Sus scrofa: one gene and its partners. The protein of the gene in region 2 purifies or fractionates together with the protein of the main gene of each other region. This does not show direct contact. Links are inferred from orthologs where the notes say so. Each region holds a gene or a part of one and is shown on either strand. Other genes may lie near its edges.

What was found.
Region 1: the proteins of CCNF (region 2) and NUSAP1 purify together in Homo sapiens (affinity purification with mass spectrometry; 3 studies listed by BioGRID, with this or other methods). This does not show direct contact. The link is inferred for Sus scrofa from reciprocal best matches to the Homo sapiens genes CCNF and NUSAP1.
Region 3: the proteins of CCNF (region 2) and TARDBP purify together in Homo sapiens (affinity purification with western blotting; 3 studies listed by BioGRID, with this or other methods). This does not show direct contact. The link is inferred for Sus scrofa from reciprocal best matches to the Homo sapiens genes CCNF and TARDBP.
Region 4: the proteins of CCNF (region 2) and RRM2 purify together in Homo sapiens (affinity purification with western blotting; 5 studies listed by BioGRID and IntAct, with this or other methods). This does not show direct contact. The link is inferred for Sus scrofa from reciprocal best matches to the Homo sapiens genes CCNF and RRM2.

The regions. Positions count from the first base shown.
Region 1 is NC_010443.5:130,062,792-130,067,061, reverse strand, and holds the start of NUSAP1 (nucleolar and spindle-associated protein 1), read left to right. Parts: upstream 1-1,420; 5' UTR 1,421-1,569; intron 1,570-4,270. UniProt on the Homo sapiens protein: Microtubule-associated protein with the capacity to bundle and stabilize microtubules. May associate with chromosomes and promote the organization of mitotic spindle microtubules around them.
Region 2 is NC_010445.4:39,596,553-39,600,112, forward strand, and holds part of CCNF (cyclin-F), read right to left. Parts: intron 2,939-3,560; coding exon 2,871-2,938; intron 1,766-2,870; coding exon 1,572-1,765; intron 1,196-1,571; coding exon 1,142-1,195; intron 532-1,141; coding exon 427-531; intron 110-426; coding exon 32-109; intron 1-31. UniProt on the Homo sapiens protein: Substrate recognition component of a SCF (SKP1-CUL1-F-box protein) E3 ubiquitin-protein ligase complex which mediates the ubiquitination and subsequent proteasomal degradation of target proteins.
Region 3 is NC_010448.4:71,212,110-71,216,433, reverse strand, and holds the start of TARDBP (TAR DNA-binding protein 43), read right to left. Parts: upstream 2,851-4,324; 5' UTR 2,490-2,850; intron 1,499-2,489; 5' UTR 1,485-1,498; coding exon 1,247-1,484; intron 1-1,246. UniProt on the Homo sapiens protein: RNA-binding protein that is involved in various steps of RNA biogenesis and processing.
Region 4 is NC_010445.4:126,364,296-126,368,341, forward strand, and holds the start of RRM2 (ribonucleoside-diphosphate reductase subunit M2), read right to left. Parts: upstream 2,851-4,046; 5' UTR 2,647-2,850; intron 1,937-2,646; exon of another isoform or gene 859-1,936; 5' UTR 819-858; coding exon 720-818; intron 628-719; coding exon 553-627; intron 200-552; coding exon 56-199; intron 1-55. UniProt on the Homo sapiens protein: Provides the precursors necessary for DNA synthesis. Catalyzes the biosynthesis of deoxyribonucleotides from the corresponding ribonucleotides. Inhibits Wnt signaling.

The DNA of each region.
Region 1 (4,270 bases), on a different chromosome or scaffold from region 2:
ACCTCCATATGCCGAGGGCGATGGAGACAAAAAGACAAATAAAACCCCCAAAAAAACCCAAACAAAAACAAAGATAAATGTAAATTCCTGTATTTAGGGCAAAAAGAGAGATGGCAAGTAAGAGAGACATATTTTAAGATATCAAAAGTTTGAAGACCATCGCCTTTTAGAAGGACATTGCCGAAATGACATATTCCCAAGAAACAAAAAGGTGAAAGCTTTAAGGTAACTTACTATAGGGTGAGTATAGGAACCGGGGCTTTGGTCTAGAGAAAAAAAAAGTAAAGTAGCTATATTAAAATATTTAGTATCTGTGGTATTCAGATAGCTAAAGACCTGTAATTGAATGGCTCTATATTATTTTTTCTAGAGGACATAATTAGGTGGTTTAACTTGGAATTTGAGAGCATAGACTTTGGAAACAGTTTGAGTGGATTCAGATCCTGGAACTGAATCTGTGGGAACTGCTGCCATAAGGAATCTCTGCTTCTAAGAAGCTGCTCAGGTGACACTCTTGAAGGTGTTTGAGGACCTATACCGCCCACCGCTGGTCGCTCACCAGAAGAGGCGCTCCCAATGACACTCCTGCCTCTCCTGGGAGAATCACGAAGGGAGAATCTCAAAAGCCCTGCAGCTGGGTTTAAGAAGAAACAAAAGTGTCAGTTATTAACAGTTTGACATTCTACAGAATGGCGCTCAAAGAAAAGTGGCGAATCTGCTCTCCTGTATTAACCAGAGCTGTAAACAGCAGTTTGACATTTGGGCTCTTTGAGTCAAAATGGGTCAAAGTCAAGAGACAAACTGGAGCTATTAAACTGTTTACCTAGTGTATTAAAAACTCTTGGATCTGAGAAGGAAATTATTAGTAGCATAGTTTAAGGGTGGCTTAAAATAGTCATGCGGGAGTTCCTGTCCTGGCTCAGTGGTTAAGGACTAGTATCCATGAGGACATGGGTTCGATCCCTGACCCCATTCAGTGAGTTAAGGATCTGGCATTGCCATGAACTGTGGTGTAGCTGCAGACGCGGCTCGGATCCCCGTAGCTGTTGCTGTGGTGTAGGCCAGCAACTGCAGCTTCAATTCGACCCCTAGCTGGGAACCTCCACATGCCTCCACATAAGGGTGTGGCCCAAGAAAGACAAATGACAAATAAACTTAAGAAAAAAAAGTCATGGGGCCTACCCAGACTGCCTTACCACGACGTGACACTGCTTCTACGCGGAAATAATTTTACATTCCTAACAAATGAATTACGAAAGGTATTCCCCCGCCATTACTACTCTCAGACCAAACGTTACTAGAGGGACGAAAACAGTGGGTCAAGAGCTATTGATTGACGTACATTCCAACCAATCTACAACGGAAGAAGAGTGCGCCTGCGTGAGGCGTAACTCAACCCGTACTTAGCGTCAGCGGAAGAGGCGGGGCAAGTGGAGACGGCCACCGCAGGGTTGGCGGACTTGAGAAGGAGCAAAGATGGCGGAGTGAGGCACGTCGCAGCTCGCTGGCCTTTGGGCCGGGGGGCGGGCGGCCCCCGGGCGCTCGAGTGCTTCTTCTGGCCAGTGCGAGGTAAGCCTAGAAGGCTAGCGACGGAGGAATGAGCAGAAAGTGGCGCGGCCTATCCCTTTCGAGAGACGGAGCGCATGGAGTTTAGTCGCGCGGGCGCAGGCCTCGGCCGGGCGAGGTTTACCTCCGAGCTGCCCCAGGGCAGCCGCCCCTGCTTTTGGCGGTGTGTTACACACGCTTGAGTCCCCGACCCGCCACTGACCTCTGTACCTTGCCTTGGCTGAGTTGGTACTTTCCGCTTGTTACCCAGCGATTGCACCTACGCGAGTGTGTATCTGGCATTCTCTGCGTCTGCCATCCGCTTATCTTTTGAAGAGTAGCTTTGTTTTATTGATTTATTTATGCTTCTCGCCTGTTTGGCTTAAGGTTCGGGTATCAATTGAGGCTTCTTGCGGCTCTGAGTATTTTGTGTTCCTGGCCTGTTGACCTTGAGATTTGGGTAATAGGTCACCCACCTCCATCCCGGGATTTTAGTTTGACTCTGTGTATCACGCACTTTCTCGTGCTTATCTTTATTATATCCATGCGTTCCCACTTCCACCTCTCAAACTTTGTTAAGATCGGTGTAAGCAGCTTTGTCCTTGTATGACCTGATAGTTACCTAATGGCGCTTTAATCTCGGATGATTCTAGGTTGAATTCACCGTTGTTTTTCACACAAAGGAGTCATTGTACAATTTTTATTTAGAATGAAAGAGTTTAGGGAATTATGAGAAAGCAATTTGCGGAATGTGGTGGGGTTACAAAGTATAATACTGTCAGGCGTTTGTATTCGGTTCTTGTTTAATTTTATGGAATATCTCTTTGTTTTGTTTGTTTTTGTTTTTTGCCTTTTTTACCTTTTCTGGGGCCGCTCCCGCGGCATGTGGAGGTTCCCAGGCTAGGGGTCCAATCGGAGCTGTAAGCCACTGGCCTACGCAAGAGCCACAGCAACGCGGGATCCGAGCCGCGTCTGCGACCTACACCACAGCTCACGGTAACGCCAGATCCTTAACTCACTGAGCGAGGCCAGGGATGGAACCCGAAACCTCATGGTTCCTAGTCGGATTCCTTAACCACTGACCTTAACCACTGAGCCACGACGGGAACTCCCTGGAATATCTCATTTTGTAATTTGGGTTGTTGTAACCTCTCACTCATCCCCCCGTTTAAATTCTGGGGAAAATCCTTGTTTCTGAAGTTGGTGAAGCTTGTTTAAAATTGGCACGTTATTTGGGCCCGGTTAGAATATGTGCTAATACAAATGAATGTATCCGGTATGCCTTTTCCTGGCCCTGTACCTAGCAGAGCTGAAAATACGAGGTTAAAGAAACACTTCTCAATAAGAATTTTCTGTTGCTCTTGTCAGGAGTAATTTTTCATTTCATCTAGGAGAAGAAATAAGGTATGGGGCAGGAAAAAGGAACAGAATATTCTTCCTTTCTACCTTACAAAGAGGAGTGGTTATCTGTACTAAAGCAAAGTCTTTTATGGAAAAAGGTTCTCAAAGAGGACGGTGTTAATTAAAAACTTGAGAACACTGCTCCACGAGTTTGGACATCTTTATAAAATTAATGCCAGTGCAGGTAGAGTAACTTTCTTTTCTTTCCTTCCTTCCTCCCTTCCTCCCTTGCTTTGTCTTTTTAATGCCACATCTGCATCATATGGAAATTCCCAGGCTAGGGGTGGAGTTGGAGCTGTAGCTGCCAACCTACACCACAACTACACCAACTCGGGGCAACCCGAGTGAGCCACAGGTCATGGTGGTGCCGGATCCTTAACCCAATGAGTGAGGCCAGGGATTGAACCTGCATCCTCAGGGATACTAGTTGTGTTTGTAACTCACCCAACCACTGTGGGAACTCTGAGAGTAACTCAGAGTTTGATTATTTGATAGTGATGGTTTAAGAATAATTTGGTTCATTTGAATAATTTTGCACATGAATGCATATAGCTCTAGTGAAGGCTGTATCCTTACTGTAATGTTCTTTTTATTTTTCCTTATCAAAGGCAGAACATTTTTTCTTGACTTTTAGGTGGTTTTATATTCATCTTAGAAAAAACACAAAATTCTGAACTCAGGATTTGGCAAGTGAGTAATAGTGACTAATGTATCCAAATATTTGTTTAAGCAGATTGGAAATACATAGAAGTGGAACAGTAAATCATTAGCTTCAACAGAAAATGAACATCAAAAGTGACCGTAATTTTTTTTTCTTTTTAGGGCTGCACCTGCGCATATGGAAGTTCCCAGGCTAGGGGTCGAATCAGAGCTACAGCTGCCAGCCTACACCACAGTCATAACAACACTGGATCCAAGCCATGTCTGCGACCCACACCCACAGCTCACGGCAACACTAGATCCTTAACCCACTGAGCAAGGCCAGGAATTGAATTGGCATCCTCATGGATACTAGTTGGATTCGTTTCCACTGCGCCACAATGGGAACTCCCCAGATGTTGATATTTTAATATTTACTTTCTAAAGCCTTTTCAGTAGGCCTTTAATATTTCTAGGTATGAGTCTGTTTTTCTGAATTTACCACAGAAGTAAAGTACACTCTTGCTCAAAGAGCAAGAGGTGATAGTGCTTCCATAATTGATAACATTGTCTGCAAGCTAGAGTTCACACCTCCTATATTAATTTCCTGGGGCTGCTATAACAAAATACTGCCAACTGGGTGACTTGGAGATCAGACATCCAAAATCAAGGTGTTGGCACGGCC
Region 2 (3,560 bases):
GAATAAGGACAAAGGCCGGCTCTCGGCTCACCTGTGCTTCCCAGCAGCCTTTGGCAGCGAAGTCCCTGAGTTTCCGGAAGTTGTGGAGGCATCGCCCAGGATCCGACATCTGTCAACAGGAGAAAGTCACCATATCTTCATGCAGTCGTATCTCTGCAGAAACTCAGAACCCACTCTTGGGGTTCTCAACTGCTCCCCCTCCCCGCTGCCTCCGGAGGGTCCCCAGCAGGGCCTTCTTCCCAGCCCTTTATCCCCCAGGTGGCGGTGGTTGTCTTTGGGGCAGTGCTGAGAGCGGCCCAATGACCAGCAGCTCCTGGGGCCCCAGGAGGGACCCCCGCACTGACAGAACCCCGTCCAAGGGCTAATCTGGAGGCTGTGCCTCTGGCCAACACCAGTCACCCTCTCCCCAGACCTGGGCCCACTCACATCCATCCTTCTGTCACTTTCCCAGAGGAGGTACGAGCTGGTCAAACACCCCTGATGGGCAGACTCTTCAAACAGGTCCCGGGCCTGGTTCTGTTTCTCTTCATCCTGGAATAAGCACCTCTAAGTGACCCCACATACTGCCCTCACCTGCAGTAAAATGAGTTGCCTGCCCTGGAGTAGCAACAACTTCTCTGAGGATGCTCGACTTGGCGACCCGTGTGCCTGGAGCTCGGCCCTGGGTCCCGCCGCCTAGAGCTGGAGTTCAGCCCTCCTCCCCAGACTGCGACAGGGGCGCTTCTCAAGGCCCCTCCAGCTCCTTGCTTGCTCACCGTCCCCCGCTGCTCTCAGAGCACCTGTCACCAGAAGCCACCACCAGGCCAGGCTGCAGAGGTGGGGTTCCGTAATCACAAGGCTCGCTAAGCTTTCTCAAGGGCTGAGAGGTCCGTGTGAGGGGTGGGGGACCCACCAACAGCAGAGCGTGAAACAAACAGGCCTGGGGTCCTGCACGGCTCAGCCCCACAGGCAGAGCTCAGGCCCACAGCCAGAGCTTGCCTTGGCCCTGAACCCTGGAGGCCCCTTCTGCCGCCTCTCACATGCTCCCTGGTCCTCAGTACTTGCGAGCGGCACAGGAGCACAGGGCCGTCGCGCTCTGCGTGCTCGCCCAGCCAGGACGCCAAACGACACAGGCCCCAGTGGGATGGACGACCAGACTCACCTCGAAGAGGCTCAGGACTCTCCCGAGGCAGTGCAGTATAGACGCCCTGTGAGCCTGAAAGGAGACGGGAGTGTGAGGTCGGCGGAGACAACTTCCAGAGGGCTGCCCTCCGCCTGTGGATCCTTGGGCTCCCCGCCCAGCCCCTCCGCACAGATGGCCGCTCCCTGATCCCAGGCTTTGGCCCACTGCTGCCCGGAGCCCCAGTCCCGCCTTTCCAGCAGTCAGTCCAGCTGCAGACCAGCCCATCACCCAATGCCCCCGACCCTGGCTGGGAGGCCTTCCCCCGCTGCTGTGGTTTCCAGATGCTCCCACATCCGTGCTCGTTTCTGCGCCTCCACGGCCCTCGGTCTCCGACATGACCTGGGCACCAGCCTCTCCCCTCAGGTCTTCTCACCTCCTGGGACCCGGGACCCCGTGCCCCCCGACTCACTTTCTGCAGCTGGCACTCCGCCCTGAGGCTCTCGTGCACCACGGCCTTGCAGCAGCTTCCGGACACCGACCAAGGCGGGCGGATGAAGAGCCAGATGAAGGGCGCGCCACCCGCGTTCAGTCGCTCGGCAAGACTGAAGAAGCGGGAGGCCTTCAGGCCGTTCACTTCCGCTCGGGCCTCATCAGACACAGACACTGCAGACACAACAGAACAGCCCGGATGTCTCGGGAGGAGGGGAGGGTCCAGAGCCTTAAGCCGCTGCCACGCCGCTGGCGTTCTGGGACAGAGGAGCCGGCGCGAGAGCGCCTTGCTTCTCCTGTGCGCTGGGCGTGAAGTGCCCCGGCTGGGCCCCCCAGTGGCCTGGATCCTGGGGTCCAGGAGGGGCCATGGAGGTGCCCCAGCCCCACCCTCCCTCCTGTGGGAGCTGCTGCCCAGCCCTCTGCTCTTTTTGGGGAAATGAGCATATTCCAGAATTCGTGGTGATGGCTGCACAATGCTGTGAACATTCCAGCAACCACTGGCCTGCACCCTCTAGACGGGCGGGGCGGATAGTATGCGGGTCCAGCTGCCGGGGTGGCGGGGGAGCGGCCGAGGACCGCTGCGCTCCTGAGCCTGGAGCAGGACTGCTCATCGCCTCCAGGCACGACCGTCCTGTCAGCCAGCTGCGCGCAGGGCGGTCTCTCAGCGAGACGCCAGGTCTTTGCAGAAGCAGAAAAGTGGCAGCTAACCCCAAGTCTTTATGCATTTTGGGAGCTGGGACAGGACGAGCTGCAGACTTGTTCCTTAGGGTGCGAAGCAAACAGGCAGGACTCGGGCGAGAGGGCTGCACAAGGTTCTTTTAAGGAGTGCCTGCCCCTTGGGGGGTGAAGACCTGGGCACCAGGCTGGCTTCGACCTGCTTGGACTTGCTTCCTGCGTGGGGCCTTGGCCACCAGGGTTACTGACACCCGACCACTGCCCCAAGTTCCACAGAGGAGCTGCGGCCAAGGAGAGAAGCCAGGGTCCAGGCCTGGTGAGCAGAGGGCAGGCAGCCAGGAAAGGCTGGCTTGGCTGGACAGTCCCCATTCTGAGTCTCTGCTCAGAGTCCCTCTTTGTCAATCGAAATGAAGGTTTTGTTAAAATAAACCTAACCCTAACACCACACAAGATCAAAGTTCACCAGGGGGTCCCTGAGCGGGGCACCTCTGGGCACCAGCTGCGGCAGAGAGACCCAGCAGCAACAGCAACTGAAGCGCTGACCCGGCAGGGCTGGTGCTCATTCTAAAACACCCCGCCCGCCCCGCCGGCCCCCGGGACTCACAGCCTTCGTTATAGAGGTAGGCGATGCCCAGCTTCACAGCAGCTTCGAAATTCCCCTTTTCGGCAGCCCTAGACCATGAAGAACATAAGACATTGCGTGATTTTGTTCCGCCACAGCCCCTCAAACGACAATACCTGTTTTCTAGCAGAAAGCTCTGGTGTGGAGGTAAACATCCATGACCCGAGCCTCGCCACCCCCAGAGGCGCCCTGAGAACATGCTTAAGGGAAAGAAGACGGGCACGGGCGGCCACGTGGTGTATGATGACACTCATACGGAAATGCCCAGAACAGGACACTACAGAGACCGAAAGCAGACCAGTGGGTGCCCAGAGCCTGGGGTGTTATAAGGAAAACGGGGAGCGGCTGCTACAGGGCATGGGCTTCATCTGGGGGTAATGAGAGCGTCCTAACATTACTGTTGAGGACAGCACAACTCGGTGACTGTATCAAAGCCGCTGGCTCGTGCCCTTGGGTAAACTGAGTGGCTGGTGGACCACGTCTGAGGCAGCGTCCCGTGGGCCCCAACTCCAGCCGGCGGGGTGGGATCAGCCAGGGAGTATAATGCCAGGGGAGTCAAACCACACGGTTCTGATCAGGAGATGGCTGAGTAACGTCTCCACACGCAGATGACCTGCATCTGAGTCACGTGGGCTGGGTCACAGCCGGAGTGAGCTCTCCGGAAGCGGCCCT
Region 3 (4,324 bases), on a different chromosome or scaffold from region 2:
ACACTGACACATCACTGTCTAAATTTTAAACTTAGGTGAATATTAATCTGCAGCCAACAGATCAAGAAATTACATTCTACCCCCCGCTGAAGCTGGTGCTATTAAAATTTTTCTTAATATATAAAAAATTTCAGAGTTCCCATTGTGGTGCAGCGGAAATGCATCCATCTAGGAACCATGAGATTTTGGGTTCAATCCCTGGCCTTGCTAAGTGGGCTAAGAATCCGGCATTGCCATGAGCTGTGGTGTAGGTTGCAGACAAGGCCCGGATACCGAGTTGCTGTGGCTATGGCATAGGCCAACAGCTGTAGCTTGGGTTGGACCCCTAGCCTGGGAACCTCCACATGCTGCCGGTATGGCCCTAAAAAGACAAAACGCACACACAAAAAAACTTCCTGGAGTTCCCGTCACGGCTCAGTGGAAACAAAAATCTGACTAGGATCCATGAGGATGCAGATTCGACCCCTGGCCTCAGTCAGTGGGTTTAGGATCTGGCGTTTGCACTGAGCTGTGGTGCAGGTCACAGATCTAGCATTGCTGTGGCTGTGGTGTAGGCTGGTGGCCACAGCTCTGAATCAAACCCTAGCCTGGGAACCTCCATATGCCTTGGGTGCAGTCCAAAAAGACAAAAAGAAAAAAAAATTAAAAAAAAAATTTGACTCGGTCTTAATTTCTAACCAAATAAGAGGACTTTGTTGCAATACTAAGTTATAATAAAACACACATATATATCAACTAGCACATTCCTACTGCTAAAATGTACTTATTTTCATGCCACACTTCTAAATCTAAATCGTCATATATCTTCATGCTGCTGCTGCTTTTTTTTTTTTTGGCCGTGCCTGGAGCATGTGGAAGTTCCCGGGCCAGGGATTGAACCTGCGCCACAGCAGTGGCCCAAGCCGCTTCAGTGACAAGGCAAGATCCTTAACCTGAACATCACTGATAAGAGACAGTGAAAATAACATGAGAACCAAAGACAGCACTAATTCAAAATCTGGGCTACTTCAATTGATATTCGTTTAAGGGGGAAAAAAATGATTAGCTGAATGAATGATGTAAGCCTGCAAGGACAAAAACGAAACCAAAGTCTGGGGGCACTTCAGAAGAATCTATTTACAACAATAGACTGATAACAACTGCAAAGCAAGTCTTAATAATTCCTTAAATTTGGCAACAGGCAACCTCAGTTCAAATAGTTTAAACCTGTACTTCAGAATCACTGCAAAACCAAACGGCAACAAACCTTTGGGATAGTTGACAACATATACCAGATTGCCCCAGCCAGCATCAGGGGCATGCAGAATTCCTTCTACCAGGCGGACACCTCTCATACACTGGGACACTGGATTCCTGTAGCGCAGCCCACACGCTCCTGGAAACTGGGCTGTAACCGTGGACAGCAACACTGTCCCATCGTCTTCTGATGGTATTTCAATGGGCTCGTCATTCTCATCTTCGGTTACCCGAATATATTCAGACATCTTTTCTTGTTTTTCTTAAAAGGAAAAGAGAAAGACGAATGACCAACACGTGTGTCATAGTAACTGTCTCTTTCCATCAGCTGATTAATACCCCTGCCAGGTCATTGTTCTACGACTTGCAGAAAAACTCTCGGTGCTGGGCTTCTTACACCTGTTGGTTATCGCCCCAAAATGGGGAGGTGAAAACAAGGGGGTGAAATGCCTTGCTAGTTCCATCACTGAGGATTCGACAAGTGCCTACTATGCATCGGGGGTTACAACTATTAACTCTGAAGCCACAGTCCCAGGTGGCAGGCTGGGTGCAAAGGGGAGAGAGGAAGCAAGAGAAAAACAGCAAACAAGTAATTACCTAATTACAATCGGGATATATGCTACCCGACAGAAAGAACGAACCTCGGGGGCTGGGGTGAGACTGGGCAGGGACACGCGTTGTCAAAGTAGAGTCTCCTGAGAAAGCGATGCAGGAGCCGAAACTTGAGGACTGAACAGGAGCGGCGAGCCAGGGGCAGAGAGCAGGGGAAAAGTTCCTCCCTGTCAAATGTGCGAACTTCCGACGGCTCTCCCAACTTGAGCCCTAAGGACGGCGGCGACAGGTCCTCGGCGACACGGGCCGCCACCTCCCAGAAGCCCGTGCGTGACGGCTGAGGGAGGAGTTTTTAAGCGTGGCCCGGGGTGGGACCGCCGGAGCATCAGGCCTAGACGTTGTCCTCCCGAGTGCAAAGCACGAAGGCACAAAGCAGGGCCCGGGCCGGGAAGCCAGGCCAAACCTCTGCCTCCGGCGGCTCGGCTCTGCGGGCCCAGCGTCTCTGCTTCGGCGCCGGCTGCCACCCTGCGCCAGACCCCTAACGTCGCTCCCGCGCGAGTCCGCTCCGCCAGGATCGAGGCGGGCCCGGCCCCACGGCTCCCTTCCCGGGACGGGGGCCGAAGCCGCCGCGTCCGCTTAGGCTGACCCACTATAGGGCGGAGGCACACAGGGCGTCCCAGTGAGAAGCGTCCGCCACTCACCTGCTAGGCCGCTGCTAGGAAGCCCGACAGGGAAACCGAAACAGCGAGGAATCCAAGAGCAGCCCAGCGACCACTTCGCTCCCACAAAATGGCGCTAGGGCCGCCTCCCCCCGCCTCTGGCCGTCGTCCCCTCCCACCGGCTCCCCGTCGAGAGGGGGGGATCGCCGCACAGAGCCACACAGCCCTCTCCCCAGAGAGTCAGGAACCCATCTGCGCGGTCTGAGCATACGAAACGGATACCACGGTTAAAAAGAAGGCTAGCATCTGGGCCTGAAGAGCTAATAATGGAAAAAATGTGGCTGCGCAGGCTTTTAGCTACCCCCACGTAGCGTAATAGATGGCTTCGCCCGACCAACCGCCGGCCCTGGGTCTCGGCCGGAGCTCGCGCATTTTAAAAGTGCGCGAGACTAACGCAAGGGCTGGGCCGGACCAGGGGGCGGGGTGGGAGGCGGGGCCACGAGGGGCGGGGCACCAAGGGGGCGTGTCCTGGGCCCTCTGGACCCTCCCGAGACTGGGGAGGGTAGGCGCGGCCAAGACCTTTCAAATCCAAAAAGCCGGGCAGATACATCCTCTCCAGTTTCCCCGAGCCTCTGCACCTGGAGAGAATAACTTTGGTTCTAAAAAATAGCAATAATAGCGGAGGTCCCGTAATGGCTCAGCGGAAACGAATCTGAATAGCATCCATGTGGACGCAGGTTCGATCCCTGGCCTCGCTCAGTGGGTTAAGGACCCAGCGTTGCTGTGGCTGTAGCGTAGGTCAGTGGCTCCAGCTCCAATGTGACCTCTAGCCCTGGAACCTCCATATGCCGCGCGTGCGGCCCTAAAAAGACAAAAAAAATCAAAATAATAGCAATATTAGCTCATACTATGTACTGAGAAGTTCCTAAGTCCTCACATATTTAATTGCCCCAACAGTCTCGTGTGGGCGTGGTAGGTGCATATACGGTGAGGGGAAACCGAGGCACAGAGAGGATCAATATCTTGCTAAATAAGGCCACGCAGGTAGTAAATGGTGAACCAGGGAGTTGACCCCTAACCTTAATGCCAACATATTCCAGCTAAAGTAACCTAGTGTACTTCATCTATTTGAAGACAAACTTTTTGTTTCACATTTCTGAAATCATTATGTGATTTCAGCTCCAGTTCCACTGATGATATGTCCTAGTTTAACTGGCAACAGTCTTAATTTCCCAGTGTACCAGGGTATCAGATTCAATGAAATGCAGTAATAGCAAAGTGCTCCATAGTTAATGCATTAACTCATTTAATTCTCACAATAACCCCATAAGGTAGGTGCCATTGTTATCATTCCTATTTTATTTTATTTCAATTTAAAAATTTGTTTGGCTGCCCTGTGGCATATGGGCCAGGGGTCATATCCAAGCTGCAGTTGTGACCTGTGCTGCAGGTGCAGCAACGCTGGATCCTTTAACCCACTGTGCCAGGCTGGGGGTCGAACTTGTACCCTGGTGCTGCAGAGATGCTGCCGATCCCACTGCAACACAATGGGAACTCCTCATTCCTGTTTTAAAGAGGGGGAAACTGAGGCCCAGAGGTTAAGTAACCTTGCCCGGGCTCACAGGGCTGGTAGATAGTGGAACTGGAATTTGAATCCTGGAAGTCTGGCTCTGGAGTGGGTGCCTCCTGCTTCTTACAGACTCACAGGGAATAAATATTAAGTCCTGCATATCCATCTCTGATGCCATTTTTTTGGGGGGGGAAGGATAAGGTTTTTTTTTTTTTTTGTCTTTTGTCTTTTGTCCTCTTAGGGCCACACCCACAGCATATGGGGGTTCCCAGGCTAGGGGTGTAATCGGAACTGTTGCTGCTGGCCT
Region 4 (4,046 bases), about 87 Mb from region 2:
TTCCCCTAGAGTAAGGGGCACTCCTTTAAGTCTCCCGGGTTCTGGACGGAGTTACCTCCTCAGCTGTCCAGAAGGAAGCCTCTGCCTTCTTATACATCTGCCAGATGTCATGGTATTCTATAGGAAAGATGACAAAGCGCCGGGGGTTTTCTCTCAGGAGCGGCTCGTCCTCCACGCTGGGGGCCGAGAGCTTAGGGTTCTGTCGGGGGGAAAGCAGTGAAAACATTAAGGAGCGGGCAGACGATGAAATTGTCATTTTTCCAGTCAGGTCACGTACACCCAATGATCGGGAATTTCATGGGGTTGAATCTAGGGTCGCTGTCAGGTATGTGGCCTATACACGAAACAGCAGGACTATATGTGGGGAAATAGGCCATGCCCCCCCTGGGTGAATGATCGGGAAGAGACTTGGCGGGAAAGGAGAGCGGGCCCGGGTGGGTGGGGGCAGGCTTTGAAAGGAGACAATGAGGCTTTGGCGCCAAGCGCAGGCTCCTCCCGGCTCCGCCTTCCTGCAGCGCCCCCTCTCCGGGCGCCCCCCGTTCGCCTACGCACCGGCTCGGCGGGCTCCTGGAAGATCCTCCTGGCGGTCTTGCTGGCCAGCACGCGGGTCCCGCTGAGGGTCGGGGGCTGCAGGGAGACGCGTGGTGAGGGGCCCGCCCGCGTCCCACAGGACCCCACCGCCCCGTCCCGACCCCCGGCCCCCGCGCCCGCGCGCTCACAGTGTTCTCCTTGTCCGCCAGGCTGAGCCCTTTCAGGGGCGAGAGCTGGAGCTGCTGCGGGTCGGCGATGGTGGCGAGAGGGACGCGGACGGAGAGCATGGCGACGCGCGGAGGGGCAGGTGAGGCGAAGGCGCAGGTCCTGGGATGCGAGCCCCAGCCCGGCCCGCAGGGGAATTTAAAGCATCCTGAGCGCTCATTGGGCGGAGCCGCCGCTGGCCACGCCCCTCGCGATTCAAGCGCCGCGCGGGATCTCAGGCCGCCCCTGCCCGCCGGGGACCCTCGGGACCGACCCCTCCCAGGCCTCCGGGGGCCGCCGGGTGGGCAGGGGGAGCCACTGCCCGGCTCCCCGAGGGCCCCACTGGACAAAGGCTGCAGCCCCTGCGCGTCTCGGTGGCCTGGCGCGCGCGGGCACTCGCTGGGGCCGGACGGTTTGGGATTGAATGAAACAACGCGATTGGAGCCCGCCAGGCGCCGGAGAGCGGGAGCTGACACCCCACCCCACAGAGCCCCACCTCTCCGAAAACGTCTCTCGGACCGGTTTCGCGGTTCTGGGCGAGAGGTTTTGCAAATGAGGTTGGTGCAAAGGCCAGTAAAACGGCCCCGGCAGCGAGGGAAGCGCCATGGCTGCGACGATTTACATACGTGTACTTGGGGGAGGGGTACAAGGTCCCTGAGGTGTGGGGTGCTCAGCGGGGACCGTGGCGCCTAGCATTTAGGGCCGCTGGCTTCAGAGTCCCGGGGTGCAGTTGCTGTGTCACTAGGACAGGTCACCCGACTTAAAGAATTGGTGCGCTGGTAGCTCTACCTAACCTGTGGGATTCCTAAGAAAATGAGAGGATTAAGTGAGACCATTCATGTAAAATGGGAAGCTCTTTGGAAACCTTCACATTAACAGGAAGGGCCTTTGGTGCAGTTTCCCGCTGAAATCGTGTCTGCTTTCAGACCACTGTCCTCTGTGTCAATATTGTTTTAAAAATGGCAAACTAAGCAAAACCTCCTGGGAAAGAGTCCAGTGTGTGCTTGAAGAACTAGAAATTCATGTACTGCTTATTGGGCATCCAAGATCCTGGAGAGGGGGTTGAAAACCTCCATGGGGGAGGGGGGGATTCGAACTAAGTAAAAGTGTCCATTTTACTTTGTACATGATCTTTCAGATTTGCCATAGATTTTGCCCTGAATGTGGCAAAATTCAAGAAATGATTGCAGAGGAAGCAGTGTTAAGGAGTTCCCATCGTGGCTCCCTGGTAACGAACCCGACTAGTATCCATAAGGACACGGGTTCGATCCCTGGCCTCGCTCAGTAGGGTAAGGATCTGGCGCTGCGATGAGCTGTGGTGTAGGTCCCCAGACGTGGCTTGGATCCTGCGTTGCTGTGGCTGTGGTGTCGGCCGGCAGCTGCAGCAGCTCCAATTAGACCCCTGGCCTGGGACCCTCCATATGCCACGGGTACGGCCCTAAAAAGCAAAAAAAAAGAGCTTCGCATCTCTTAGACAAAACAACTAAGACTCTGGTCTATCTGTTTTAAAGCAGCTCACAGACATTGTCGATTTCCCCTTACTTCAGCATGCACTTTCAGAAAATGGATATTTTTATTGATAGAGGTGTGATGGTTTTATCAGCCACCATAAAACGATCGCAATTATCAGTGATTCTCTGTCCTTCTCTAATCCTCAATGTCGGGTAATTAATACCTGAAGTCCTCCTTTGGGTTGCTGTTCCAGGCACCATGTGCTTTTTAGCTCCTGTTATATTCCGTGTGTACAGGAACCATAAAGTATAACTCGGTGAACTAGCCAGAAACCGTGACTTCTTTTTCGGTTGAACTGCCACGAGGCAGGGGGAAAAGTCGCCATCCTCTCCTTCACCTCCTCCCACCTCTGAGTCATTTGGGAGGTCCCATCCCCTCCCCCCCAGGTCGGGTTTTTACCGCTCTCGCTTTACAAAGGAGGAAGCAGGGGCAGAAGGCTACGTGACTCTGCGGGGAGGTCAAGCCGGGAGGAGGCAGCGGGGCCTGGCTTCTGGTAGGCAGGGCCTCCTCTCTCGCCTGGGTCCCGGAGAGGAAAAGGCCGGGCGGGACGTGGCGGCCCATTCCCCGGAAGAGAGAGCGCCCTCCGCTGCTGCCTAGGGCCGGGCGCTGGAATCTGACCAGGAATCTTCCTGGCTTCCCTCTGCGCCTGTTTGACAGCTGCTCCACGATTGGCCAGTAGGACAGAGACTCCGCCCCCAACCTCCGAGAGGAGGCGCTCATTCGAGCCTTCGGGATCCCACGCCAGGCCACCGTAAGCCCCGCCCCCGCTTCCGGTCCTGCGGTCGCGCGGGGAGAAGTTGTACTTTTAGCATCTAGGGCGGGCGGGTTTGGTGGCCTCTTAAGAGGCGCCTCACCCTACCCCAGCACTCATCACCTATATACGGGACACCGCGCTGGTAATGACACTGACGTCGGTAACTCCACAGCCCCTGGGCCCCTGGACCACGTGATTAACACTTAAAATGCAAAGGACAGTGTGAGGTTCTCTTGAGATCAAGGTCTGAGAGGCAAGGAGAATGTCCAAGGTTATACGGTTCCTAAAACTGCCCAGCTAGAACTTTCCTCTCCCAATTTTTGTTAATAATGTTTTCGGAGTTCCCCTTGTGACTCAGCAGTAACGACTAGTATCCATGAGGATGTGGGTTCCATCCCTGACCTTGCTCAATGCGTTAAGGATCCAGCGTTGCCGTGTAGATCACAGACACCGCTGGGGTCTGGCATTGCTGTGTCTGTGGGGCAGGCCAGCAGCTGGAGATCTGATTTGACCCCTAGCCGGGGAAACTCCATATGCTACAGGTGCAACCCTAAAAAGCAAAAGCAAAAAAATAAATAAATAAAGTTTTCAACAAACAGAAAAACAAAAGAATCCTACAGTCTTCACCCACCACCTGGGATTCAGTGGTTGTTTCCATTTTGCCTTATTGCTTTCTCTTTCTGGACGTGGGAGGCTTTAGTTTTTTCTGGATCATTTGAAAGTGGGTTGTAGAAAGGACACTTCATCCCCAGATATTTCAGCATGTTGCGGCATATAACTCTTAAAAATAAAAACATCCACTAACGTAACCACAACATCATATTCAGACCTAAGAAAACCAGCATTAATTCTCTAACATCACCTAATAGCTTCTAGTCCATAAGCAAATTTTCCCCAGTCGTTTCAAATGTGTCTTTTAATTCATTCACTTTTTATTCAGGATCCTGTTTAGCACATGCATTACATTTGTCCACTGTATCTTTTTAGTCTCTTTAAAATCATATCAAATGAGCTTTATTTTTTGTTCTTTGATTTTTTTTTTTTT